Linked DNA regions of Caenorhabditis elegans. The protein of the gene in region 2 interacts with the protein of the main gene of each other region in a pairwise test. Each region holds a gene or a part of one and is shown on either strand. Other genes may lie near its edges. The genes, in order: F13H10.1 and tln-1.

Region 1 (3,294 bases), on a different chromosome or scaffold from region 2:
GTCTGTGTGATTCTCTCAATCTGTTGTATCTGTATTTGGATGTGCAGATGTCGTCAAGATCAAGTTCGAGCCAATGAGGAGAAGAACGATCGAGCGACCCAATTGCAGAATTTTGAGGAGGGGTAAGGGTTTTGATTCTCAGACAAACGCTTAGTAGTCTAATTAGATTTCAACCATATTTGATTAGAAACTGAGCAAATATAATGGGGACATAATTAATAGGCTTCCTATTCTAATCCAATATGGATTTTCTAATCAAATATGGTTGAAATCTAATCAAATATGGCTGAGATCGTGCCATATTGGATTAGATTTCGACCATATTGGATTAGATTTGTTTTCTAATGAAATATGGAGGGAATCTAATCTAACATGGATTTCTAATCTAATATGGAGCAAATATAATGCAATATGGATTTTCTAAACAAATATGGTTGAAATCTAATTAGACTACTAAGCGTTTGTCTGAGTGCTACTGAAATTGTGATCTAGTTTTCTAAAATTATAACAAAGCAAATATTCATTTCAAAAACTGATACAATTTTTTTCATGTTTCAGGCAAGCTAAGAACGGCGTGGTTCAAGCAAGCATTAAACCAGGGAATCGATTAAATATCAAAGACATTTCAAAATCCACGGATACTGTGAGATCTCATCGAGAAGAATCATCTAGAAGCCATGAAACAATTGGACAGGTTAGTTATTAATTAAGAACAAAAATTATAAATATGGATTTCAGTATGAAGAACGAATAACCGGTGTGTCAAATGCTTCCAATAATAATTCAAGATCCGGTGCAGCTACTGGAATTGCACAGAGATTTAGAGATGAAGAAGCTGCGAAAAATGTAAGAAACTTTTTTGAAAATTAAACGGTTTTGTTGATTTTTATTTTTAGAAACGGCTGGACACCATATCCGAGATAGCAATGTCAAATGATTCATTGCAAAGGAATGACTCAAAGGTACATAATCTATTAATATTGAACTCTAACACGCTTTGAAAATTAGTATTTCAGTCTCTTTTAGTCTTGCGCTTTTTTTTGGATTTCAAATTCAACAATTAAAAATTTTAAGAAACCACTTTTCGTGAAAGTTGAAAATCACTATTTCTAAATAATAATAAAAACTTGTAGTCTCCGTTAGTATTGCGCTTACATAAATTTAGTAGAGTTTGAAATCAATGTAATCTATGAAATCAAATAATGGAATTATTTCAACACCACATTTCGCAAAATAATAATTGTTTTCAGACAAACGTATTCAATAACATTGATGGTTCACGAAAAACAATATCCCCGATGGAAGTTGATCTGAATCCGGGTTTGAGCAGTTCGATCAATTTGGAAAAAATATGATTATCACTAGCTATCACCATGTCTAAAACTATATCATTTTTGAAATCGATATCATGATGGAAAAACGGAAGATCTCTTGTTTCTTGAAAAATAAAGTTATTTCCTAATATATTTTTAGCTTCAAAATATATATAGTAATTGTCACAAAGGCAGACTCTGATTTAATAAAATATGTGAAACCAGGTGTGGGCGGCGATTGAAAATTTTTGGCAATTGTCAGTTGTTGTAAGTTTTCATATCCAAACGATTATTTTGAAATTTTCAAATATCACATTGCATTCAATAATTATCTGGCAAATCCCAAAAATTATGTTCATGACTATTAGAAAAGATATAAGTATCTCGTCATTGGAAACCAGACATTTTTCCATCTCATCTTACAGTAATTCCAATTACACTTTTGCATCTTACGTACAATTTAGTAGAAACCCAGCGCAAAACGAAATGCGATATCATGTGAGAACAAACATAATACAAACAAATACATATCGGTGAGTCTCCAAGAAGTTCAAGCTTTTCCCAGTCTGTTTGCTTTTTGGGCCTTCAAAACTTTTTTTACTTTTTTGCGCAAGCATGGTCGTTGAGAAGTGTTAGGACACTCCTTTTTTCCACTCCTTCTTCATCCAAAATGAATGACAAAACTCTTGAGGAATTCACTTTGAGCGTCCACCACTTTCCAGACACTTTCACACATTTTTAATTTGTTTTCATGTCTTTTTTCTTTACTTAAATCTTCATTTTAAAGATTTAATTATACTTTAAAAATAATAGTTCATAGTTGCAATGTTGGATCACAATAGACTGGAAGAATTTATCGAACAAATTCGTCTTACTCCAGCAATATGGAAAAATCGAGAATTTGATATATCTCGTGAGCATATGAATGAAATTTGGGCTCATTTCGGGCACACTTTTGATATTTCTCGTGAGTTTTGCACATATATGAAAATAATATCCAACAGATTTTTAGCAAAGGAAGCTGAAATGCAATGGGAATATCTCATTCGGCTTCATCGATTTATGAATAGAAATGCAAGTTTAGAGGTGAGCAGAACAATTTAAATTTCAAGAAATAAATTTCAAACGAAATGTTTATTTTCAGCAATTTCGAATTGAAGTTCCTTCCCTAGAAGATGATTTTACACCGGCAGATACTCTTGTTGCTGAATCACTTGCTATTTTCTTGAAACCAACATTAGATGAACTTTTATTGATATCGAAACCATCAGAAACTTCCGTCTGAAACTGCAATAAATATTTTTTGTTTTTTTTAAATATTTAATATTGCTAAACGATATTTTGAAACTTACAAATGTAGTGATAAAGTGAGTTTTCAAATCCAATCATTGCCAGGAAAAAGGTTTTTTTTAATTTTGGGGAAAGAAAATAATAAACTAATAAGTTCTGAAAGTAGATTTTCTGGAAAAATGTTTTCTCAATTTATATCGGCCTGCTAATGTAAGCCATCCAAACAGCGCTAAATTCACCAAAATTCCTTATGATTATTTTTGTACAGTTTTTACGCGGGTATTTGCAACTCATTACTTTGGAAATCGGTCAAAAAATTGTTCCACTAAAAATAATATTAATAATATATGTTGATTATGTTTTTAAATGCCCGGGGAGATGATCGATAATGCGACAAAAGACTGTAATTCTAAAGAAACACACATTTTTAAAAATTGGAATTTTGCCAAAGCTTTCATTCAGAAATTTATAATTATGATTGATTTTCAAATGTGCTATTCAGCAATGTTGAACTATTATTCGTCTTATAATATATACCCAGTATCGATATCGACCTTCTAAAATGAAAAATCACACAGATAAAACTTCCGCATTTTTCAACTTATTGGTTTAAACGATCAGAAAAAGAGCACAAGAAGAAATCACAGCAAGTCATAGTTTAACATTGTGACTCTACTTTCGTGACTATTTG
Region 2 (4,862 bases):
TTTTTACAGAAAATGACATTTTTGCAATTTTTTAATAGTTTTTGATGGGTTAAACCTGGATTATCTAAATTCAGCATATATATTAGGTTGGTCGAAAAGTCTTTGCAAAATTTGTACTTTTCTTCATTTCTCAGCGTTAATTCATTTTTTTTCTGATTCTGTTTTTTTATTTGCATAGTACGTAATGTGCATGTTTAATATATTTAAAAAAAACTTTTGGGTGCTGTTCAAAATGACCGAGAATTTGCTCGCCGAACGTCACGCCCTCCGATGGGTTTTTCTGTACGAGTTCCCCCAAATCTGCAATTGCAACGAAGCTCGTCGTAACATGTGTGCAGTGTTAGGCAAGAACTCTGTCACCTATAATACCATGAAGTTTTGGTTCGAAAAGTTCACGAAAAAGAACTACGATCTCGATGATAAACCAAGATAAGATCGCTCTCGTTTGAATATCGACGAGGATATTTCGAGAGCCCTGGAAGATGATCCAAGAGCAACGAACCGCGAACTTTCTGCGACTCTCAAGCATCCCCAAAAAACCATCATCAACCATCTCCACGAAACCGGAAGGGTAGAAAAGTTCGGTCAACTCGTTCCTCACAATTTGCCCGATTCTCAGAAAAATTGTTTTGTGACCTCTCTCTTTCGCTGCTCACTAGGAAACGAACAACGGACTGGGTTAAGGATATCATTACTGGAAATGATAAATGGGTATTGTATGTTAGCCATACCAGGAAAAAAGAGTGGGTCCCGGTCGAGGAAACCGCGACACCTGACCTCAAATTAGAACTTCACGGAAAAAAGTGCTTCTCTCAATTGGGCGGGACAGTAAGGGTGTCATTTCCAGAGAGCTTCTTCCAGACTTTGCTACAATCAACGCTGGCCTATACTGCATTTAATTGGAAAAGATGGTCCATGCTCATCGATTACATCGCCCTAGAGGATCAAAGTTGTTGCTGCTCCATGACAACGCAAGACCGCATACAACTTTTAAGACCCGCCAGAAGCTCCAGACAGTCGGAATCCAAATTTTATCTTACCCATCGTATTCGCCGGGCTTGGCTCCTACTGACTACCATCTGTTCCGCTCACTCCAGAATCACCTTGCCGGGCAGAAGTTTCATGATCGAAAGGTCGTCGAAACGGGGTTGGACGACTTCTTTGCCTCCTAATCGCAGGAGTTCTAGGCGGAGGGTACTGTTCAACTTCCGTTGTGTTGGCAAGAAGTCATAGGCATTAATGGTAAATATATTACCCATTGAATCTTGTTCGCTTTGAAAAAATACTACTTCCAAAAAAAAATCAAAATTTTGCAAAGACTTTTCGACCAACCTAATATTTTACCCGTTTTCAACAAATTCAGACAACTTATTATTTTTTTTTGTCCAATTTTTTTTCAGCCATCTAAAAAATTGTCCTTTTTCAATTTCTAATAGTTTGGAACATTTTCAGGAAACATTTTTTTTTGGGCAAAAAACTGTCCTTTTTTGGGTTTTTGAGTGAATTTTGAGTCTTCTCACTACAAAATTAACCATTTTAGAGGAGTTTCAAAATTGTGATTTTTACCAAAAATTGCCCATTTTTGCTACTTTTTAATAGTTTTTGATGGGTTAAACCTAGATTTGCTGAATTCAGCATATATGAATTACCCGTTTTAAATAAATTTAGGCAATTTTTTATTTTTGCCCAATTTGTTTTTTCAGCTATCTAATGACTGTCCTTTTTTGGACAAAAAAAAAATGTTTCTGAAAATGTTTGAAACTACTATTTTCTAAAAAAGGACCAATTTTTAGGGTTCGGAGATCAATTTTGAGTTCTCTTACTACAAAATTAGCCATTTTAAAGGAGTTTTAAAATTGTGAATTTTTACAAAAAATTGTAATTTTTTTTTTTTTTTTTCGGATAAAAATTCACAATAGTCGACTTATGTTCAGAACAGGACTCCCATGAGGTCGCCGCATTAATCCGAATGGATAGTGCGGCGCGGAACCCCGAACGTGTCGGCCGCTTCCAAATAACTCACATTTTGCACTACGTTGCGCAACGTAGTGCTAAAAGGAAGCTATTTGGAAGCGGCCGACACTTTCAGGGTTGCGCAATTACGCACACACCAAGCTACTTATGACAAGCTGCGGAACCACGAATGTGTCGGCCGCTTCCAAATAACTACGTTTCGAACTTTATTGCACAAACACACACACACACACGGGCCTGCATTTCGCGCCTGGGAGCCCTAGTTCAGAATACTAATTTTCAAAACATTTTCCAAAGTTTTACTATGATACCAATTTGGTAATTTTAGCACCCTATCCTGCATTCTGCCAGTTAACTTAGCATTTCCATACCTAAAGAAATACTTTCTCCTCAAGATCAACGTCTCCTCCTCCGTAATCCCCTGTTCTCGAAGTGTCTTCGTATGGTCCAGCCACGGAAGTTCCTCATCGGTATGCAACTTTTTGCGGAGCTCCTCCAACTTTTGCTCATTCTTCTTTCTCATCGTCCCATAGATTCCACCGCCGCCACGATCAGAGCTTTTTGATCTACTCTCCTTCTCCTTCAAATTCCACGTGGAACCTCCATTTTGTCCGCCGCCGCCGCCGCCGCCGCCACCGTTCTGCATAAGAATATCGTCTCGAACAAGACTGTACTCTTCGTAATTCGAGATTCCAATCTTATTACAGACGGTCATCATGAGCTGCGACACGGGCTGTGACTCGTCAACGGAGATCGTTTTGACGGCTCCGTCGAGCATTCGAACTTTGAGCAGACGGATCTTCCGCTTGTACTCGATTTCGTCCTTGTTACGCACCAAATAGTGCTCAAATGTGCGCCCGTTGTCCATCCAGAGTGATTTTGATGGGTTCTCGTCGAGCCGGAAGATTCCGTATTCATTTGCTGCAAAAAAAATTTTTTTGGGCAAAAACTGATTTTTTTTCTAATTTTTGTATAGGGCCAACTTTTGTCCCAAGGAGGAAAAAAAATTATCCTTAGTCCATATCTGGGCGTGGTTTGTTAGGCGTTGCCACGCCCATTTTTCAAATTGTTATGGAAGAGTATAATTTCTAGGCCACCTACCATTAACATCGTGCATCGCGAATTTTTCCCTAATAAGCTTGGCGGCATCGTATATAAGTGTGGACGGCTCGAACTGCATCGTCTTCTTGATTCCCTTCTCGGCTGACGAGACCGTCAGACTGAGGACTCCCATGGTGTCTGAAGAGAAAATTGATAATAAGGAAAGTTTGGCGGGGGAAGTTCAAAAAAAAGAAAAGAAGAAATTGAAGGAATCAATTTACGACAAAGGATTTGCGGTTTATCTGGAAGCTTTTTAGATTTCAAAAACGGTTATTCAAATGTTTTTCCGAATATTCCTAAACACGACCCGTTTGATTTGCGTCGATCTACAAAAAATGCGGGAGTTGCTAGGACGCAGAATTTTCAACTGATTTCGCATGGTTAAGAGCGTGCTGACGTCTCATTTCTTTTGCAGAAAATTCCCGCATTTTTTGAAGATCGAACCGTAATGGGACAGCTTAAAACTACGTGACGACCCGGAAAGTGGTACATCCATACAAACGCGCTCTACTGAAAATTTGAGTGTGACCACGTTTGGGCGCATGAAAAGGAAAAAAGGCTTTGGTCCAGAAAATTTAGCAATTGTTTTCGGGCATTTTTATACGTTTCACAAAAAATAATGGATCATCCGTTTTTGAGAACGGTAGACACACGTGGTGTCAGGGGCTGTCCCATTACGGTTTGATCTACAAAAAATGCGGGAATTTTTTGCCCTAAAAAATGTGACGTCAGAACGTTCTCAACCATGCCAAATCAGTTGAGAACTCTACGTCTCTTCTCCCGCATTTTTTGTAGATCTACGTAGATCAAACCAAAATGAGACACAGAATTTGTTATCAGTCCTATCTTTAAAAAATCGATAAAGTTCAGGGTGTTGAAACATATGTAATAGATAGTGTGTCTCTAGAGATTCCAACAGATGCCAACCGGCAGCGGCATTTTTACACAGCTTTTTGTCGGGTGTAAAGGAAGGCATCAGGGCAAGAAGGAGCAGAAGATGAAGAAGAAGAAGAAAGATGATCGTAGGCGGGTTGCGTGGGGAGAGCACACTTTGTGCACATTGAGCTATGGGAAGGCGGATGGGGGGGGGGGGGGGCGAACTAGAGGGACAAGGCCACATTCCTTCCGTTTTCAAATGCATTAACTGTCCGTTTCATGTTGACGAATTTGCATTTTTATGATTCATTTTGAGTAAGGATAGTGAGAGAACATCGGAGAAGTGCTTACTAGTTTCTGGGATATGCCACGCCCATTTAATGGTTAGGATGAAAAAATTTCGTGAAAATGAAATAAAAGAAAATTGGAAGAATTTTGGAGACTCTAGGAATATGAAATTTGAAAATTTTTATAAAAGAGCGCGTTTGCGGTTTGATCTACAAAAATTGCGGGAATTTTTCTTCCAGAAAAATTCGAAAATTTGACGTCAGCACGTTCGTAACCAATCAGTTGAAAAGTCTGCGTCTGTTCTCCCGCATTTTTTGTAGATCAAACCAAAATGGGACACTCAAAAATTTTAGGAATATAGAAATAAAAAATATTCCGCATTTTTCTGACTTTGAATGCACTTGAAAATTGAAAACTTGGTTATTTCCAATAAATTCTCATTGGGGCGCGTTTGTAATTCCGTAAATTTTTAAAGTAGCTAACTTTTAATGAAAATTTGGTGTCAAAAATCAGAAATTGTTGATAAATCATCAATGGAGCGCGTTTGTGATGAAAAATCCAAAAAATTAACGCCGGTGCATAAATCATAGTTTTCTGGGTTACTTTTTTTGTAAAGAATGTCA

The links.
Region 1: the proteins of tln-1 (region 2) and F13H10.1 interact in a two-hybrid assay, tested with the Caenorhabditis elegans proteins (one large-scale study listed by BioGRID).

Annotation. Positions count from the first base shown.
Region 1 is NC_003282.8:11,002,447-11,005,740, forward strand, and holds F13H10.1 (MADF domain-containing protein), read left to right. Parts: upstream 1-2,126; 5' UTR 2,127-2,138; coding exon 2,139-2,280; intron 2,281-2,325; coding exon 2,326-2,399; intron 2,400-2,457; coding exon 2,458-2,598; 3' UTR 2,599-2,623; downstream 2,624-3,294. Other genes in the region: F13H10.9 (uncharacterized protein), read left to right, coding at 1-122, 559-694, 739-846, 897-962, 1,251-1,355.
Region 2 is NC_003279.8:1,719,943-1,724,804, reverse strand, and holds the start of tln-1 (FERM domain-containing protein), read right to left. Parts: upstream 3,214-4,862; 5' UTR 3,209-3,213; coding exon 3,076-3,208; intron 2,896-3,075; coding exon 2,346-2,895; intron 1-2,345.